Linked DNA regions of Anolis sagrei. The protein of the gene in region 1 purifies or fractionates together with the protein of each later gene. This does not show direct contact. Links are inferred from orthologs where the notes say so. Each region holds a gene or a part of one and is shown in the gene's direction. Other genes may lie near its edges.

What was found.
Region 2: the proteins of XPO1 (region 1) and NMD3 purify together in Homo sapiens (affinity purification with western blotting; 3 studies listed by BioGRID and IntAct, with this or other methods). This does not show direct contact. The link is inferred for Anolis sagrei from reciprocal best matches to the Homo sapiens genes XPO1 and NMD3.

Annotation. Positions count from the first base shown.
Region 1 is NC_090021.1:12,218,784-12,229,017, forward strand, and holds the start of XPO1 (exportin-1), read left to right. Parts: upstream 1-5,306; 5' UTR 5,307-5,949; intron 5,950-8,159; exon of another isoform or gene 8,160-8,507; intron 8,508-10,234. UniProt on the Homo sapiens protein: Mediates the nuclear export of cellular proteins (cargos) bearing a leucine-rich nuclear export signal (NES) and of RNAs.
Region 2 is NC_090023.1:247,183,514-247,193,445, reverse strand, and holds the start of NMD3 (60S ribosomal export protein NMD3), read left to right. Parts: upstream 1-5,050; 5' UTR 5,051-5,147; intron 5,148-8,813; 5' UTR 8,814-8,838; coding exon 8,839-8,882; intron 8,883-9,414; coding exon 9,415-9,549; intron 9,550-9,932. UniProt on the Homo sapiens protein: Acts as an adapter for the XPO1/CRM1-mediated export of the 60S ribosomal subunit.

The DNA of each region.
Region 1 (10,234 bases):
CCCAGGTGTGATTTCCCCTGGAGAGCTTTCACGGCTGGATTCCAAAACATTTTCATCAGGCTGTTCAGTTTCACTTTCCTCGCCACTGACCTCAGCATCAACAACAGTTTCAACACTATCAGGGAGAGATACATGTTCAGTGGCTTGCTCAGTTGGAAATACAATCAGAGAATCAGGTTCACACAGAGATTGGGGCTCAGGTTCACATAGAGCAGGCTGAACCTCAACAGGTATGCTCGATTCCGGCCACAGGGAGAGCTGCTGCTTCACCGTCCACTTAAATCAACGACTTAAATCAAGACATAGTTTTCTTAGATCTACAGAGACACTTGCTGGAACACCTCAGCAAGCGAGAGTTCAAAACTGGCAGGCTCAAACCCAGCACCTCAATCCGTGGGTGATACCAAATAAGAGACTCCCCACTGGGCACACAGAAGACTGGGCGACTTGGAAGGGGCTGAACAGACTGAGCTCTGGCACCACGAGATGCAGAGCCAATCTTAAGAAATGGGGCTACATGCGAGTGTGGAGAAGAGCAAACCACTGACCACCTGCTGCAATGCACCCTGAGCCCTGCTACATGCACAATGGAGGACCTTCTTGTGGCAACACCAGAGGCACTCCAAGTGGCCAGATACTGTTCAAAGGACATTTAATCAGCTACCAAGTTTGCAAAATTTGTGTTTTGTTTTTTTATCTGTTTGTTTGTTTTGTTCTGTTAGAAATGTAATACAATGTTCTGGTTGCGGATGACATGATAAATAAATAAAACCGTCCACTTGTGACACCGAATCCTTGTACTTCTTCATTCTTGCGTACACTGCTGGAAGGTTTTATGGTGTCATAAATTAGTTAAATTAGCATCCCCGCATAAAGCAATACCTACATTTCCTACCGAATCCTTGTACTTCTTCATTCTTGCGTACACTGCTGGAAGGTTTTATGGTGTCATAAATTAGTTAAATTAGCATCCCCGCATAAAGCAATACCTACATTTCCTACAACTGTCATTCAGGCTGCATAGGTCGACAGCAAGCTAGACTATCAATGGTTGGGAGCTCACTCTGATCCAGGCTGGCTTCGAACACATGACTTCTCAGTCAGTAGTGATTTAATGCAGCTGGCTACTAATTAGCTGCGCCACAACCCAGTCTAGATAATAATACAATATACATAAAATATATTATATTATTAGCATATCATAATATTATATATTATATATTACTATATTGTACTTTTAATATGAAATATAAAATTATTCTATTGTATTATTATTAGTATTATATTATATTATATTACATTATATTTTCAATATTATATGTGTTTACACTATATTATTAGCACAGAAGAATATTAGTATTAATATGATTATGCCAATGCACAAAAATTATAGATCTATTTTATAATCTATATTTATATATAATTTAATATAATAATATATATTATTAGATAATAATATTTATATTTATATATAACTTAATATAATAATATATATATTATTATATATTATATTATTATATAATAATATACGCAATAATAATAAAATAAAAATAATTTATAATTCATAAGTTCCTTCCTTTTCCTTCCTTTTTCTTTCCTTCCCCTCTTTTTTCCTGCCAATGACGTCATTGAAAGTTGCCAGCCAATCAGAGCACAGGCACGAGGACCGCCACTTCGCCCGCGAGATTATGCTATTTGAGGCAAGCGCTACAGAAGGGGCGGGACTACATGGAAGACAGACAGCGGGGGCGAGCCAATCAAGCGGGGCCCTTCCAACTCCCTCGCTTTGCCACCCCCTCCCTTGTCTTTCTCTTAGAAATAAAGGGGAGGAGCCAACAATCCCCGCGCGCTGGGTAGAGAGGGGGGAAAAAAGCAAAACGGACAGGCCGTTCAGCCAATGATAGATCTGTATTAGAAAGGGGCGGGTTTTACAATCCTGGCGCGCTCAGTGGAGAAGGGAGTGACAGCATACAGTTAATGAAGAGGCGGGAAAAAGAGTAAGACGGGCAGGTCAGCCAGCCAATGATAAACCGGTATTAAAAATGGGCGGGGTTTACAACCTCGGCGCGCTCGGCGGAGAGGAGGGTTTAATAGAGAGGCGGGAAAAGACGGGCAGGCCAGTCAGCCAATAATAGACCTGTAGAAAAAAGAGGGGCGGGGTTTACAATCTTCGCGATCAATGGAGAGGGGTGTGAAAGCAACCAAGACGGGCAGGCCGATCAACCAATAGAAAAAAAGAGGGGCGGGGTTAACAATTTGAGCGCGCTCGGTGGAGAAGGGCGTCAAAGCATACAATTAATAGGGAGGCGGGTCAAAGAGCAAGATGGACCGGCCAGCCAGCCAATGATAGACAGCTAGAAAAAAGGGGCGGGGTTTACAATCTAGGCGCGCTCGGTGGAGAAGGGCGCGAAAGCATAGAATGAATAGAGAGGCGGGTAAAAAAGGAAGACGGGCAGGGCGGCCAGCCAATGATAGACCGCTAGAAAAAAAGGGGCGTGGTTAATAATTAGCGCGCTCGTTGGAGAGGCGGGTAAAAGAGCAAGACGGGCAGGCCGGCCAGCCAATGATAGAACGCTAGAAAAAAGAGAGGCGGGGTTAACAATGTTAGGGATTAATAGAGAGGGGAGGGAATGCATCCAAGACGGACAGGCAAGCCAGCCAATGATAGACCGCTAGAGAAAGAGAGGCGGGGTTAACAATGTTAGGGATTAATACAGAGGGGAGTGAAAGCATCCCAGACAGGCAAACCCGCTAGAGAAAGAGAGGCAGGGTAAACAATGTTAGATAGTAATAGAGAGGGGAGTGAAAGATAGAACAAGCCCTATGAGGAGCGGCTTAAGGAGCTGGGCATCTTTAGCCTGAAGAAGAGAAGGCTGAGAGGAGATATGATAGCCATGTATGAATATGTGAGAGGAAGCCACAGGGAGGAAGGAGCAAGCTTGTTTTCTGCTTCCTTGGAGACTAGGACGCAATGGAACAATGCCTTCAAACTACAAGAAAGGAGATTCCATCTGAGCATGAGGAAGAACTCTCTGACTGTGAGAACTGTTCAGCAGTGGAACTCTCTGCCCCGGAGTGTGGTGGAGGCTCCTTCTTTGGAAGCTCTTAAACAGAGGCTGGATGGCCATCTGTCGGGGGTTTATTTTTTATTTCTCGTGTCAGGGCAGCCAGTCAATTATATTACATTTCTAACAGAACAAAGCAAACAAACAGAGAAAATACAAAATGTGTGAGTTTGGTAGTTGATTAAATGTCCTTTGACCAGTATCTGGCCACTTGGAGTGCCTCTGGTGTTGCTGCAAGAAGGTCCTCCATTGAGCATGTGGCTGGGCTCAGGTTGCACTGCAGCAGGTGGTCAGTGGTTTGCTCCTCTCCACACTCGCATGTCGTGGACTCCACTTTGTGGCCCCATTTCTGAAGGTTGGCTCTGCATCTCGTGGTGCCAGAGCGCAGTCTGTTCAGCACCTTCCAAGTCGCCCGGTCCTCTGTGTGCCCAGGGAGGAGTTTCTCATTTGGTATCAGCCATTGGTTGAGATTCTGGGTTTGAGCCTGCCACTTTTGGACTCTCGCTTGCTGAGGTGTTCCAGCGAGTGTCTCTGTAGATCTTAGAAAACTATGTCTGGATTTAAGCCGTTGGCGTGCTGGCTGATACCCAAACAGGGGATGAGCTGGAGATGTCTCGGGGTTAACAATGTTAGGGATTAATAGAGAGGGGAGTGACAGATCCAAGACGGGCAGGCCGGCCAGCCAATGATAGACCGCTAGAGAAAGAGAGGCGGGGTTAACAATGTTAGATATTACTAGAGAGGGGAGGGAAAGCATCCAAGACGGGCAGGCCAGCCAGCCAATGAGAGACTGCTAAAGAAAGAGAGGCGGGGTTAACAATGTTAGGGATTAATAGAGAGGGGAGTGAAAGATCTAAGACGGGCAGGCCAGCCAGCCAATGATAGAACACTAGAAAGAGAGAGGCGGGGTTAACAATGTTAGGGATTAATAGAGAGGGAAAGCATCCAAGACGAGCAGGGGCGGGGTTAACAATGTTAGGGATTAATAGAGAGGGGAGTGACAGATCCAAGACGGGCAGGCAGGCCAACCAATGATAGAACGTTAGAAAGAGAGAGGCGGGGTTTACAATGTTGGGGATTAATACAGAGGGGAGGGAAAGTATCCAAGACGGGCGTGAAAGGGATAAGACAGGCAAGCCAGCCAGCCAATGATAGAACACTAGAAAGAGAGAGGCGGGGTTAACAATGTTAAGGATGAATACAGAGGGGAGGGAAAGCATCCAAGACAGGCAAGCCAGCCAGCCAATGATAGAACACTAGGAAGAGAGAGGCGGGGTTAACAATGTTAAGGATGAATACAGAGGGGAGGGAAAGCATCAAAGACAGGCAAGCCAGCCAGCCAATGATAGAACGTTAGAAAGAGAGAGGCGGGGTTAACTATGTTAGGGATTAATACAGAGGGGAGTGAAAGATATAAGACGGGCAGACCAGCCAGCCAATGCTAGAACGTTAGAAAGAGAGAGGCGGGGTTAACTATGGTGGGGATTAATATAGAGGGGAGGGAAAGCATCAAAGACGAGCAGGGAGAGGGGAGTGACAGATCTAAGACGGGCAGGCCGGCCAGCCAATGATAGAACACTAGAAAGAGAGAGGCGGGGCTAACAATGTTGGGGAGTAATAGAGAGGGGAGTGAAAGATCCAAGACGGGCAGGCCAGCCACCCAATGCTAGAACGTTAGAAAGAGAGAGGCGGGGTTAACAATGTTAGGCATTAGTAGAGAGGGGAGGGAAACCATCCAAGACGGGCAGGCCAGCCAGCCAATGATAGAACGCTAGAAAGAGAGAGGCGGGGTTAACAATGTTAGGGATTAATATAGAGGGGAGAGGGGAGAGAGGAGGGAAAGCATCCAAGACGAGCAGGGAGAGGGGAGTGACAGATCTAAGACGGGCAGGCCTTCCAGCCAATAATAGAACGTTAGAAAGAGAGAGGCGGGGTTAACTATGTTGGGGATTAGTAGAGAGGGGAGGGAAAGATCCAAGACGGGCAGACCAGCCAGCCAATGATAGAACGTTAGAAAGAGAGAGGCGGGGTTAACAATGCTGGGGATTAATATAGAGGGGAAGGAACGCATCCAAGACGGGCAGACCAGCCAGCCAATGAGAAGACGCTATCGGAGGCGGGCGGGAGGGAGTGAGGGAAGGAAGACGGGCGTGCGGGCCGTCCAATGGCGAGCGGCGTCTGTGCCTGGCCCTCCCCTTGTCCCGTCATCGGCGCGGGCAGCCAATGGGGCGGCGGGGCGGTTTCCGGGGGGGCGGGGCCGGCCTGCCTCGCTCGCTCCGCCGAGGCGCCATGGGCTGAAAACTAAACCGAGATGGAATCTCCCAGTCTGAACCGGTTTGAGCCGGTTCCGAGTCTGTGGCAGTAGAAGAGGAGGAGGGGGAGGGCTGAGGGGAAAAGAGCGGAAGGCGAAGCACGAAGCCACGGGGGAAGAAGAAGGAGAAGGAGGAAAAGAGAAGGAGGGAGAGAGTGGATGAGAGGAGGGAGTGAGTGAGGAGAAGAAGGAGGCGTGTGTGTGTGTGAGAGAGAGAAGCAAGATTGGCAGGAGGAGGAAGAGGGAGAGGAGAAGGGGGGTTCACCACAACAACAAGGCCAGGTGTGTGTGTTGTGTGTTGTTTACCACAACAACAACAAGGCCAGGTGTGTGTTGTGTTTGTATCTATCTCCCTGTGAGGGGAACAGCAGGCGCCATGGAGGAGGACTGAGGGGAGGAAGGTGTGTATGTGTGTCTGTGTGTGAGAGAGAGGGGTGTGTTGGTGGAAAGAGTTTGTGCTGGTTGGGGGTGGGATTCCTATTTTACACTCTTGTTCTTCCTCCTCTTCTTCTCCCCTCTGAAAGGGGGAAAATACACACACACACTCACACACAAAAAGAGGAAAAAATTGAGGTGAGCAGATCTCTTTCTGGGAGTTGTGTGTTGTTTCTTTTTCTGGGGCGGGTTTTTCTCCCTCTTTTCCTCACAAACCTCAACCTCCTCCTCCTCGTTGAGGGGAGTACTGGGGTGTGTTTGCACAGGCCTCTCTGAGGAAGAGGTTGGGCTTCAGGGGTCAGCGTGGCTTCTGCTTTCTGGAGGGAAACAGATATCTATTGGAAAGAAAGAGAGAGGCAGAAAAGTCAGCTTTCTGGAGAAATATCTATCCTTCAGTGTGTTTTTGCAAAGAGCTTTTTGAAAATATAGATATCAGAGAGGCAGAAAAGTCAGCTTTCTAGAGAAATATCTATACTTCAGTGTGTTTTTGCAAAAGGTTTTCTGAAAATATAAGTATATTAGAGAGAGAAGCAGAAAAGTCAGCTTTCTGGAGAAATATATATCATTCAGTGTGTTTTTGCAAAGAGCTTTCTGAAAATATAAGCATCTATTAGAGAGAGAAGCAGAAAAGTCAGCTTTCTGGAGAAATATATATTCTTCAGTGTGTTTTTGCAAAAGACTTTCTGAAAATATGAGTATCTATTAGAGAGAAGGAGAAAAGTCAGCTTTCTGGAGAACTATCTATCCTTCAGTGTGTTTTTGCAAAGAGTTTTCTGAAAATATAAGTATCTTATTAGAGAGAGAAGGAGAAAAGTCAGCTTTCTGAAGAAATATATATCTAAATATCTATCTATAGATATCCTTCAGTGTGTTTTTGCAAAAAGCTTTCTGAAAATAGAAGTATCTATTAGAGAGAGAAGCAGAAAAGTCAGCTTTCTGAAGAAATATATATATATATATATATATATATATATATCCTTCAGTGTGTTTTTGCAAAGAGTTTTCTGAAAATATAAGTATCTGTTAGGCAGAAAAGTCAGCTTTCTGGAGAAATACATACCCTTCTGTGTGTTTTTGCAAAAGTCTTTCTGAAAATATAACTATAAGAGTAGCAGAAAAATCAGCTTTCTGAAAATATATCTATATATCCTTCAGTGTGTTTTTTGCAGAGCTTTCTAAAGATATATATATATATATATATATCATATAGATAGATCCTTCAGTGTGTATGTGTTTGCTATAGGCCCCAAGCCTTTCCCCAAGCATTTCAACCATAGAGTTGTTGGCAAGGAAGTCAGCTCTCTGAAGAAATATAGATCTATATATCCTTCAGTGTGTTTTTGCTAAAGACCCATTTTCCCCCCAAAGCTGACTTTCAACTTTCAGCATTGCTTTGAGATACTAGTAAGGTTGTTGGCAGATTTCTGAAGAATATAGCTATCTATAGATCTATCCTTCAGTGTGTTTTTGCAAAGAGTTTTCTGAAGAAATAGATATTAGAGAGGCAGGGAAGTCAGCTTTCTGAAGTAATACCTATATATCTATGTGTATGTATGTATATGTAGATTGATATCCTTCAGTGTGTATGTTTGCTAAAGGCCCCAGACCTTTCCCCAAGGTTGGCTTTCAACTTCCAGTATTTTAACCATAGAGTTGTTGGCAGGGAAGTCAGCTTCCTGAAGAAATATCTATCTATATATCCTCCAGTGTGCATTTTTGCTGTAGGCCCCAAACCTTTCCCCAAGGTTGGCTTTCAACTTCATTGCTTTGGAAAGAAAGGCTAGTAGGGTTGTTGGCAGGGAAGTCAGCTTTCTGAAGAAATATATATCTGTATAGCTCTATATATCTGTATTCTTCAGTGTGTGTGTTTGCAAAAGGCCCCAAACATTTCCCCAGGGTTGGCTTTCAACTTCCAGCATTGCTTTGGAAAGAGAGGCTAAGATATTGTGGATTGATTTTTTAAAATATAGTTATATATACACATAGATTGGGGTGTGTGAGAGAGAAGGAAAAAAGAGGTGTAGCAGGAACATCCTTTCTGCACTTTTTTTCATAAAGAGCGGGAGAGTGAAAACGGGTGGAGACTTTGCTTTTTCCTCCCTTTGAGATCTAACTCTACATAGGCCTCAAACACACCCCAATTTTTCTGCCTGTGTTTTATTTGGGGAAAATAAGGGTGTTACATCTGTTTGAATGAATGGCAAAGGCCTGGCCCAAGTTGTAGGTGTGTTTGCAACTTTGCTAGGAAAGTGACTTGACTTCCATGTGCATTTTTTCTCTCCAGTTTGTGTGAGTCGCCCTATTATTATTTTACTCCATCTTTTTTCTCTTCTTTTTTTTTTTGGTAGGTTTGGCTCGTTGTTTGTTTGAGAGAAACAGAGAAGTGTGTATGTGACAATTTAATTATTTTTTGAATGAAAAAAAGGAACCAGACTTCTGGGCCTCACGTGAAATCAGAAGGAGACACCTCTCTTTTGTGTCGGGTGTGAGGTTGTGTGTTGGGAAGCTGAGGCTTTGGGAAGGAAAGCTGGGCAGGCCTTTCTTTTTAAGACACACACAGAGAGAAAGAGAGACACTCCTCGTGCTTTGCTTGGATTCCCACCCACCTATCTACCCATCTTTCTCTTTTGTTTTGTTTTTTGTATTGTGACTCCTCTGCTCCCTCTCTAGAAGAAGTAGCTGTGATACTCAATTAGGTAAGTCAAGACTTTTTTTTTGTTTCACCTATTGGGAAGGAAACATGTGCAAAAGGGATGGGGAAGGAAAAGTTGGGGAGTGGGTGACCAAAAAGGGAGAAAGAAACCCACTGAAAGGTTTTGGAGATAGTTGGAACCCTGCTGGGAAGTTATAGTTTGGTATAATAAATAAATATGGTAAATAGAGAAGTATAGGATGGGATGGGATGGGGAAGGAAAAGTAGGAGAGTGGGTGACCAAAAAGGGAGAAGGAAACCCACTGAAAGGTTTTGGAGACGGTAGGAAGCCTCCAGGGAAGTTATAGTATGGTAAATAAATATGGTATGTATGTATATATAGAGTGTGTGTGTGTGTGTATGAGATGGGGAAGGAAAAGTTGGGGAGTGGGTGACCAAAAAGGGAGAAAGAAACCCACAGAAAGGTTTTGGAGACAGTGGGAGGCCTGCAGGGAAGTTATAGTATGGTAAATAAATATGGTATGTATATATATATATAGAGAGAGAGAGTATGGGATGGGGAAGGAAAGGTTGTGGAGTGGGTAACCAAAAAGGGAGAAAGAAATCCACTGAAAGGTTTTGGAGACAGTGGGAGGCCTCCTGGGAAGTTATAGTACAGTATGGTAAATAAATATGGCATGTATATATATGTATAGAGAAAGTGTAAGGTATGAGGAAGGAAAAGTTGGAGAGTGGGTAACCAAAAAGGGAGAAAGAAACCCACAGAAAGGTTTTGGAGACAGTGGGAGGCCTGCAGGGAAGTTATAGTATGGTATGGTAAATAAATACTTACAGTATGGATTGGGGAAGGAAAAGTTGGGGAGTGGGTGACTGAAAAGTGGGGGGGGGGGACCCACTGGAAGGTTTTAAAGACAGTGGGAAGCCTTCTGGGATGTTATAGTATGGTATAGTAAATAAATATGGGAAATAAATAAAGATGAGATGGGGAAGGACGACAGGTTGAGGAGTGGATGACCAAAAAGGGAGAAAGAAACCCATTTAAAGGTTTTGGAGACTGAGAAGCTTGCTGGGAAGTTAAAATATGGTATAGTAAATAAATATGATAAATAAAAATGTTATAGAGAGAGAGAGAATGGGATGGGATGGGGAAGGAAAAGTTGAGGAGTAGGTGATCAAAAAGGGAGAAAGAAACCCACTCAAAGGTTTTGGAGACAGTGGGAAGCCTGCTGGGAAGTTATAGTACGGTATAGTAAATAAATATGGGAAATAAAAATGTTATATGTAGAGAGAGATAGAGAATGGGATGGGCAAGGAAAAGTTGAGGAGTGGGTGATCAAAAATGGAGAAAGAAACCCACTGAAAGGTTTTGGAGACCATGGGAAGCCTGCTGGGAAGTTATAGTATGGTATAGTAAATAAATATGCTAAATAAATATAGTATAGTATGGAAAATGTATTGAGTGGAGCAATGGATTTAAATGTGCAGGAAAAGATGTTCCACCTAAATATAGGGATTGTTAAGAGTTTAGAGAATGGGATGGGCAAGGAAAAGTTGAGGAGTGGGTGATCAGAAATGGAGAAAGAAACCCACAGAAAGGTTTTGGAGACCATGGGAAGCCTGCTGGGAAGTTATAGTATGGTATAGTAAACAAATATGGGAAATAAATAAAGTATACTATGGAAAATGTATTGAATGGAGCAATGGATTCAAATTTGCAGGAAAAGATGTTCCACCTAAATATAGGGGTGGTTAAGAGTTTTCCATAGTGCC
Region 2 (9,932 bases), on another chromosome or scaffold:
TATTTTGCAAGCAAGAGTGCTTTTAGAGAAATGCTCCACAGACAACTATGGTTTCTTTTTAAAATATTTTTTAGTCCAATGTAAAAATATTTTATTAGTTTTGTTTTTTTTAAAGGAAATTCAAGTGTTATGGGGAATTATTCCATACGGGAAGATGGGTTTGCTTCAGACATTCTTATGTTAATTGTATGCCCTTGGATTACCTGCCTGTCTGTCCTACTTGAATAAACCATGTCACCTTATTTTAAAACTCAGTAAAATGCTCTTATTTGGTTACCAATTGACCTGTAGAAATCCTCTGTAGAATGCTTCGTGAAAGAACCATCTTCTAGAACTCCAGGGGACAAAAGAAACATGATGTCATGTAATTTGGCTATGCTGTTTCTGGGTTTCAGAAACTAAATTGCTGGTGTGCAAAGAGGAACTCTGAGACAAATTCAGATGAGGACCACAGCAGTGGGGAAGGAAGAAAAAAGCCATTTACCCCTGCAGTAGCCTCAATTAGAGTTGGGGGAAAGGATGTATAGTTACCATTAGTGCCAATAAGATCTTTCCTTCTATTAGAAACAGCAATGTTCAATGTTCTATGTTTTATGTTTTGTCTCTGTCCTATGTTTTGTGGTTTATTGGTTTTAATCTATTGTTATATGCTACTTTACTTATGTGATGTATTTTTTATGTGAGTCATTGAATTTTGCCAATTGCTTTGCCGTGAACCGCTTTGAGGGTGTGAGAAGTGGTATATAAATGAAATAAATAAATAAATAATTCTGATTATGCCTAAAAGAAAGGCAGCAGGTTAAAGAAGAGGTGGACGAAGTTCAGGCCATGAGGCACATGTGGCCTCCAATACCATTTTTAATATCCCAGATAGCTCCTGAAAGTTATAAATGGCCATTGGTGATATTGTTATGTATTGAGCACTAACCACAGTTGCTTAGTTCGTCATTTGAACATAGAAAATGTTTTCCTTTCTGTTTTTGATTAAATTTGAGCAAATTTCATCATATCAACTTTTAAATAAAAATATAGACAACTACTGATTTATGATATGCATGGTCACTATACATTTGCATTTGATCTCAATAGGAAACCTTTTTACAAGGTACATGTTCTTTCAAAGGATGATTAATAGAAAACAAGTTTTATGTTTTATGTGCATGCATATGAAGTACCTAAAGTAAGTGTAGACAAAGTAATTGTATGTAATCAGTATACATTTGCATTTACACATTTGCTGCTTCTGATTTCTTTCTGGTGAACAGTTACACTACAGATGATGCCTCACAAGAGAAAAGAAAAACAAAAAATACTGTAGGCAAAGAAAGCAACTGCCTTAATTTTATTTTAATTATGAACCAGAAGACCATGTTTCAAGCATGCCATGGAAATATACTGAGGGAATGCAAAATGGAAAAAATAAGCGTCCCATGGGAATTCATGAAGAACTGTACATTAATGAAATAATACAGACCTTCAAAATATTTAGTAATAAATATGTCATAAAGATTCTTGTATTCAAATTCACTTGCTGATGCTGTCACATACAAGTTCTTAAAGCCGCTTTGAATCTCCCAGTGGAGAGAAAAAAACAGAATGTTAATAAACATCATCATAATAACAACTCATAACCATTAGGAAAAAGCTGGAGACATAAATATTGTCCATTTATTATGAAGTTCCCTAGAATTGCATGAGTACATACACACTGTTCATAACTTGAGCACAAATGTACACATCTTGGCAATGTCTCTTTCTTACCAATGTAGGCAGCTGCCACTGGGTGTTGTTTTTCCACATGGGAAATAATGTTTGTATTTGGATTTATAAAATGAATTGCCTGAAAAATAGACAAATATACTACAAAGATTTATAGATGCAGTTAGTTTCATCAATAATTGGTTAGAAATTGATAATTCATGCATCACATAATACCAGTTCCACATAATTCCAGAGTTTCTAGATGTCTCACATGTAGTACAGTGGCTCACCATTTCCGTATAGCAGTGGATTGCAACTGAACTTTTGAAATGAATAACATTTCTTCTTCAGTCAAGTGTAAATGACAGATACCACCACAGAACAAGGAAGTAAACAGATTAAAGAAATAAATTAAAAATCCAATAGTCTTGTTTTTGACTAAGCAATTATCTGGACAGCTGGCCCCAGTTAGGACCCAAAAATCTTGTCATTAAGCATTTTACTATTGTTATATCCAAATATTTAATGATAAATCGTTCTTATCCTATCGTTGCTATATGATATATGCACTTTATTCACTAGTTCTATCCTCTATTGTTGTTGCACTAGTCCGCCCACCCATGACGAGACACTGAATTAAGTTACTATTATTTTATTATTTGTGCAGTAGAACATTCTCGATAATCCATTTCTTATGTTCAGGATAATATGGGTATAAGAAAGTCCCTTCAGTGTTATAAAAGTTATACTATGGGCTCAATTTTTGTTGAGCTAAATGTTTGCTAGTGTGTATAATATATCTCTTATAGACAACATATCTGAAATGGCAGAATACTATGCTGGAGAGCTAATGACCCGGACATGTTTGTTGTCTTTTGTATATAAAAATTGACTCACTATTTGGAAAAGTGATTGTTTGAGAGCTTTCTAGAATGCAGGTATTTTGTATGAAATGGGTGTATGGTCTCGATCCTTGCAGAACTTTTGAGGCTTGTTCCATCCCTCTTCGTTAGTTTTGTGTGGCTGGATAATTTGGTGCACATGGTTTCTGGTCAGTGGATATTTATTTAATTGCTGTACATATCCTTTTTTCCCCAGCAGGAGGCAGAAAATGACTAAAAATGTTTAACAAAAACATAGCTAACATTTCAATGTTAAATTGTTGCTCTCATATACACCCATCATATCCTGTGGCATGTAACTATCTCATAAATGGCCATTCTAGCTTTTCCGTAACCCCCAACTTCTGTTTCACTTTTAGCTACAAAAAGGTCAACAATACAATATAAAAACATCATACAATAATAACAAGTTAAAAATACATATAGATTAGATTTACTGATAATTCAAATCGCCAGGATAAAATCATGTCCAATTCAGTCCATGTGTGTGATCGAGAACTCTGTTCTGTAGCCGGTCTCAACCATTACTCTGGGAATGCTTCCTTCCATAGCCAGGATTTCACCAGCCTCCTGAAGGACAGGAGGGAGGGGGCAGATCTGATCTCAATCGGGAGAGAGTTCCATAGCTGAGGGGCCACTACAGAAAAGGCCCTGTCTCTCGTCCCCACCAGACGCGATTGCGAAAATGGCGGGATCGAGAGCAGGGCCCCACCTGAAGATCTCAACTGTCTTGATGGTTCATAGGGGAGAATAAGTTCGGACAGGTAAACTGGGCCGGAACCGTATAGGGTTTTGTAGGTTAAGACCAGCACTTTGAATTGTGCTCGGAAGCTAATTGGCAGCCAGTGGAGTTGTGCGCTCCCTGTACTCCGCTCCCATTAGTAATCTGGCTGCCGAACGTTGGACGTCTCATCAATAGAATCAGCATTCAATCTAGTTGTCCATTAATCCATATTCCAATAATCAATCAATTGTACCGCTTAGTTGAAAGCCTGTTCGAAGAGCCAGGTCTTCACTCTCTTCCTGAATTCCAATAAGGAGGCGGCCGATCTAATGTCTGTAGGAAGGGCGTTCCACAGCCGGGGGGCCACTACTGAGAAGGCCCTGTCTCTCGTCCCCGCCAGGCGTGCTTGTGAAATCGGCGGGACCGAGAGCAGGGCCTCCCCAGACGATCTTAACATCCTAACTGGTTCATAGGAGGAGATGCATTCGGACAGATAGGTCGGGCCAGAACCGTTTAGGGCTTTAAAGGCTAAAGCCAGCACTTTGAATTGTGCCCGGTAGCAAATTGGCAGCCAGTGGAGCTGGCGCAACAGAGGAGTAGTATGCTCCCTGAGTGCCACTCCTGTTAGCATCCTGGCTGCCGCTCGTTGGACCAATTGAAGCTTCTGAGCAGTCTTCAGAGGCAACCCCACGTAGAGAGCGTTGCAGTAGTCTATACGGGATGTAACCAAAGCGTGGACTACCGTGGCCAAGTCAGACTTCCCAAGGTACGGGCATAGCTGGCGCACAAGCTTTAATTGTGCAAAAGCTTTCCTGGACACTGCCGAGACCTGGGGTTCCAGGCTCAGCGATGAGTCCAGGATCACTCCCAAGCTGCGCCTTCAGGGGGAGTGTAACCCCGTCAAGCACAGGCTGTAACCCTATGCCCTGTTCAGCCTTACGGCTAACCAGGAGTACCTCTGTCTTGTCTGGATTTAGTTTCAATTTGTTCACCTTCATCCAGTCTGTTACAGCGGCCAAGCACCGGTTCAGGACTTGAACAGCCTCCTTAGTAGCAGGTGAGAAGGAGTGACAGAGTTGAACATCATCTGCGTACAGGTATATGCTATATACTTTCATGTGCCTGAAAATAAATCTATCTGATGTAAAGTACCAATCTTTTCTGTACTTGCAATTCACAAAGCATCCCATATAAGACTGTATTTATATTCTACCCTTATTTATATTCTGCCTTATCTATATGGATAGACCAATTAAGACAGGCATGGGGCAAACTTGGGCCTTCCCTCCAGGTGTTTTGGACTTCAACTCCCACAATTCCTAACAGCCTACCGGCTGTTAGGAATTGTGGGAGTTGAAGTCCAAAACACCTGGAGGGAAGGCCCAAGTTTGCCCCATACCTGATATATATAACAACAGAGAATGTGCGGCCTATATATATGCCCTGAAGCCTGAAAGCCTATAGACCCTTAAAATGGCCCAAAAAAGAAAGAAAATCACATGTATGTCCAATGTTCTTGGTCCTCCTTGAATTCTCTAAGCACTTTCAGTCCAAGAACCAATGAAAACTTCTGCTTTGAGGGTTTACTCCAGCACCCAACTAACTCACCACTCCGAAGCGAATCTGAAAAGTTCTGCTTGAGTCTCGCGAGAGCTGCCTCCGGGAGGGATGTAACGTCTCGCGAGAGCACGCAAGGCAGCCACTAAAGTCCATGCAAATCTCGCGAGGCTGACGTTCACCGGCGGAGACCGGAAGAGAAGGGGAAGCGTGGCAGCCGCGTGAGCTTCCTAGGCAGAGAGCAGCTTCTCCGCTTCGGCTACGTAAGAATCTCACACTTACTTGGGATTTCAAGCCTTCCTTGCAAAATGGGGCAGCTCCAACAATACGCTGCATAGGTTCTTGTGGGCTTTCTCGGGCTATATGGCCATGTTCTAGAGGCATTTCTCCTGACGTTCCGCCTGCATCTATGGCAAGCATCCTCAGAGGTAGTGAGGTCTGTTGGAAATAGGACAATGGGTTTATATATCTGTGGAATGCCTGGGGTGGGGCAAGGAGCTCTTCCCTGCTGGAGCTAGGTGTGAATGTTTCAGCTGATCACCTTCATTAGCATTTGAAGGCCTGGCTGAGCCTGGGAAAATACCCTGTTGAGAGGTGTTAATCTGTGCCTGGCTGTTTCCTCTCTGTTGTTTTGCTGTTGTAATTTTAGAGTTTTTTAATACTGGCAGCCAGATTTTGTTCATTTTCATGGTCTCTTCCTTTCTGTTGAAATTGCCCACATGCTTGTGGGCTCTCCAGGCCAATGGATACTCCACCTCAGACATCAGAAGAGCTGCAAGACCAAGAACAAGCCACGAGAGTCAAGATGAAGATCCACCCAGAAGAAAAGTGTTCCTGCCATACATCAAGAGAACCACTGACCGCATAGGGAAGCTGATGAGGAAACACAACATACAAACAATCTACAAACCCACCAAGAAAATCCAACAAATGCTACGTTCAGCAAAGGACAAGAGGGATCCTCTCACCTCTGCAGGAGTCTACTGTATACCATGCAGCTGTGGACAAGTCTACATAGGGACCACCAAACGCAGCGCCCAGACACGCATCAAGGAACATGAAAGGCACTGCAGACTACTTCAACCAGAGAAGTCAGCCATAGCAGAGCACCTGATGAACCAGCCTGGACACAGCATATTATTTGAGAACACAGAAATGCTAGACCACACCAACAACCACCATGTCAGACTACACAGAGAAGCCATTGAAATCCACAAGCATGTGGACAATTTCAACAGAAAGGAAGAAACCATGAAAATGAACAAAATCTGGCTACCAGTATTAAAAAACTCTAAAATTACAACAGCAAAACAGCAGAGAGGAAACAACCAGGCACATCTTAACACCTCTCAACAGGGTATTTTCCCAGGCTCAGCCAAGCCTTCAAATGCTAATGAAGGTGATCAGCTGAAACATTCACACCTAGCTCCAGCAGGGAAGAGCTCCTTGCCCCACCCCAGCCATTCCACAGATATATAAACCCATTGTCCTAATTCCAACAGACCTCACTACCTCTGAGGATGCTTGTCATAGATGCAGGCGAAACGTCAGGAGAAATGCCTCTAGAACATGGCCATATAGCCCGAGAAAGCCCACAATAACCTAGTTTGATACCGCTTTAATGGCTCGGGTCTATTGGATTCAGGGAGTTGTCGTTTTGTGAGGCATTTAGACTTTGTGGGACTACAAATTCTAGTATTCCATAGCATTGGGCCAAAGCTGGTGTCAAACTGCAATATCTCTGCAAACAAAATACACAATAAAGATACAAATGCATAATAAAGTAAATAATTAATACAAACAATGTATCGTAACTAAATATGATTGTTGTTGTTCATTCGTTCAGTCGCCTCCGACTCTTCGTGACCTCATGGACCAGCCCACGCCAGAGCTCCCTGTCGGCCGTCACCACCCCCAGCTCCTTCAAGGTCAGTCCAGTCACTTCAAGGATGCCATCCATCCATCTTGCCCTTGATCAGCCCCTCTTCCTTTTGCCTTCCACTTTCCCCAGCATAATTGTCTTCTCTAGGCTTTGCTGTCTCCTCATGATGTGGCCAAAGTACTTCAACTTTGTCTCTAGTATCCTTCCCTCCAGTGAGCAGTCGGGCTTTATTTCCTGGAGGATGGACTGGTTGGATCTTCTCGCAGTCCAAGGCACTCTCAGCACTTTCCTCCAACACCACAGTTCAAAAGCATCTATCTTCCTTTGCTCGGCCTTCCCTAAGGTCCAACTCTCACATCCGTAGGTTACTACAGGGAATACCATGGCTTTGAGTAGGCGGATCTTTGTTGCCAGTCTGATGTCTCTACTCTTTACTATTTTATCGAGACTGGACATTGCTCTCCTCCCAAGAAGTAAGCGTCTTCTGATTTCCTGGCCACAGTCTGCATCTGCAGTAATCTTTGCACCTAGAAATACAAATACAAATTAAAACATGCTGCAGAACTAGAGCAGCCTAACACCACTTTTAACTGCAGTGCAGATGCACCCTCTTGTGAGAGAGCTCTGATGCTACAGCAGACTACAAGTCCCAGAACTCTCTAGCAGGTAAACGTAGTGTTAGGCTGCTCCACTTCTGCAGCATTCTTTATTGATTGCTATCATGTTTAGTTATGATACCTTGTTTGTATTAATTATTTAATTTACAGTGCATTTGTGTCTTTATTGTGTGTTTTGTTGTAAGCCGCTCTGAGCTTACTTCTTGGGAGGAGAGCAATGACCAATCTCAATAAAATAGTGAAGAGTAGAGACATCGAAGATCAACATAGTTAAAGCAAAGGAAATCAGGAGACGCTTACTTCTTGGGAGGAGAGCAATATACAATGACCAATCTCAATAAAATAGTGAAGAGTAGAGACATCACACTGGCAACAAAGATTCGCATAGTTAAAGCAATGGTATTCCCCATGGTCACCAACGGATGTGAGAGCTGGACCATAAGGAAGGCTGAGCGAAGGAAGATAGATGCTTTTGAACTGTGGTGTTGGAGGAAAGTTCTGAGAGTGCCTTGGACCACAAGAAGATCCAACCAGTCCATACTTCAGGAAATAAAGCCCGACTGCTCATTGAAGGGAAGGATACTAGAGGCAAAGATGAAGTACTTTGGCCACATCATGAAGAGACAGGAAAGCTTAGAGAAGACAATTATGCTGGAGAAAATGGAAGGAAAAGGAAGAGGGGCCGAGCAAGGGCAAGATGGATGGTATCCTTGAAGTGACTGGCTTGACTATGAAGGAGCTGGGGGTGGCTACAGCCGACAGGGAGCTCTGGTGTAGGCTGGTCCATGAAGTCACGAAGAGTCAGAAGCGACTGAATGAATAAACAACAACAGCCATCCCCAGCTCCTTCATGGTCAAGCCAGTCACTTCAGGGATACCATCCATCCATTCATCTTGCCCTTGCTCGGCCTCTCTTCCTTTTTCCTTCCATTTTCCCCAGCATCATTCTCTTCTCCAAGCTTTCCTGTCTTCTCATTATGTGGCCAAAGTACTTAATCTTTGTTGTTGTTTATTCGACAAAGGAAGAGGGGCCGACCAAGGGCAAGGTGGATGGGTGGTATCCCTGAAGTGACTGGCTTGACCTTGAAGGAGCTGGGAGTGGTGACGGCTGACAGGGAGCTCTGGCGTGGGCTGGTCCGTGAGGTCACGAAGAGTCGGAAGCGACTCAACGAATAAACAACAAAGCTCCGAGTCACAAAGGGAGATGGGACGGGATATAAATAAAGGTGACTTGACTTGACATGTTTTCACGCTGCACCTCTCGAAATACCTTATGGTTGATCTCAGCCCCTGAAGCATTTCAATCTTTGAATAATGCACAACTTTGCTCTCTTTTTCATACCTGGCTGTCTTGTGGTTTTATTTCTTCCTGCATTATCTACATGCCAAAAGGGTTTCCTCCAGCATTGAATTTTTTTCCTCCTTTTTAGCTTGGAAGTTGCATGTGGAACGAGAATGGAATACATGAAAGAACCTGCTACTGTCAGCCAGGGAAATATGTAAGTAACAGTTTCCATGAGCCCCAACCAGAATGCATTGAAATTGAGTTTTCAGTGATAGAATAGACTTTGTATTTATGCATGCAAATGTACAAAATTCTTCGTCTTCTTAGAAATGAGAAAGTTCATGGTAGGTAGTGGTCATTATTCACCCTGAGGAGCATTAAGTTGCTGAAAACATATCCTCAATTGACTCGGCAGAGATCTAAAGATTGGAATTTCAAGTTAAGCTCCAGAATGTCAAAACTATTAATGATAGCATTGTGTGTGTAAACAAACATTGTGTATGGACTGGATGGCCCTTGTTTCTCTTCAAACACTTATCATTCCATTGAATAGGCTGAGATTTTGTTCAACACCAACAAAGCACCAAGAAATCTCACCCTATTTACACTGAAATCCATTGTACAAGTAGCTTGGCCTAACTTTGTGTTCAGTGGGTGAAAATAGCCATCCTTTCCTACTTTCTATTGAAACCATGTAATTACATTATGGATTGTAATTTTTAAAATATATATATATATTATTCTAGCCTGTGCTGCGAGTGTGGAATCCCAATCCCACCAAACCCAGCCAACATGTGTGTATCGTGTCTACGCACAAAGGTGGACATCACTGAAGGAATCCCGAAACAAATTACTGTTCATTTCTGCAAACAGTGTGAAAGGTATAACCCATATTCAAGATCTTAAAACATAGCATAATAGTACTGAGTTTAGTTGTTGTTTTTTTGTTTGCATTCTTTTAAAAAAAGATTTCTGTGGTATCCTTCCTTACAAATGCAAGTTTTATTCAAAGATTTTTTTTTATTGTTTGTTGAAGAGGTCAGACTCTTTGGCAGAAAATGCAGCTGCCCAGACTATCTACATATTGGGGTGGCTTCTTCACAAACCACAGTGAAAGAGGAGTAAATAGCTCACGTTACAGTTATTTTCTTTAAAGAGTTTATTGCTGGCAGAATGAGTAGTTTGAGTGTTGGATTTGGAGACCCAGGGTTCAAATCCTCAGTTGGAAATGGAAACTTATTGGGTGACTTTGAGCAAGTTGCAC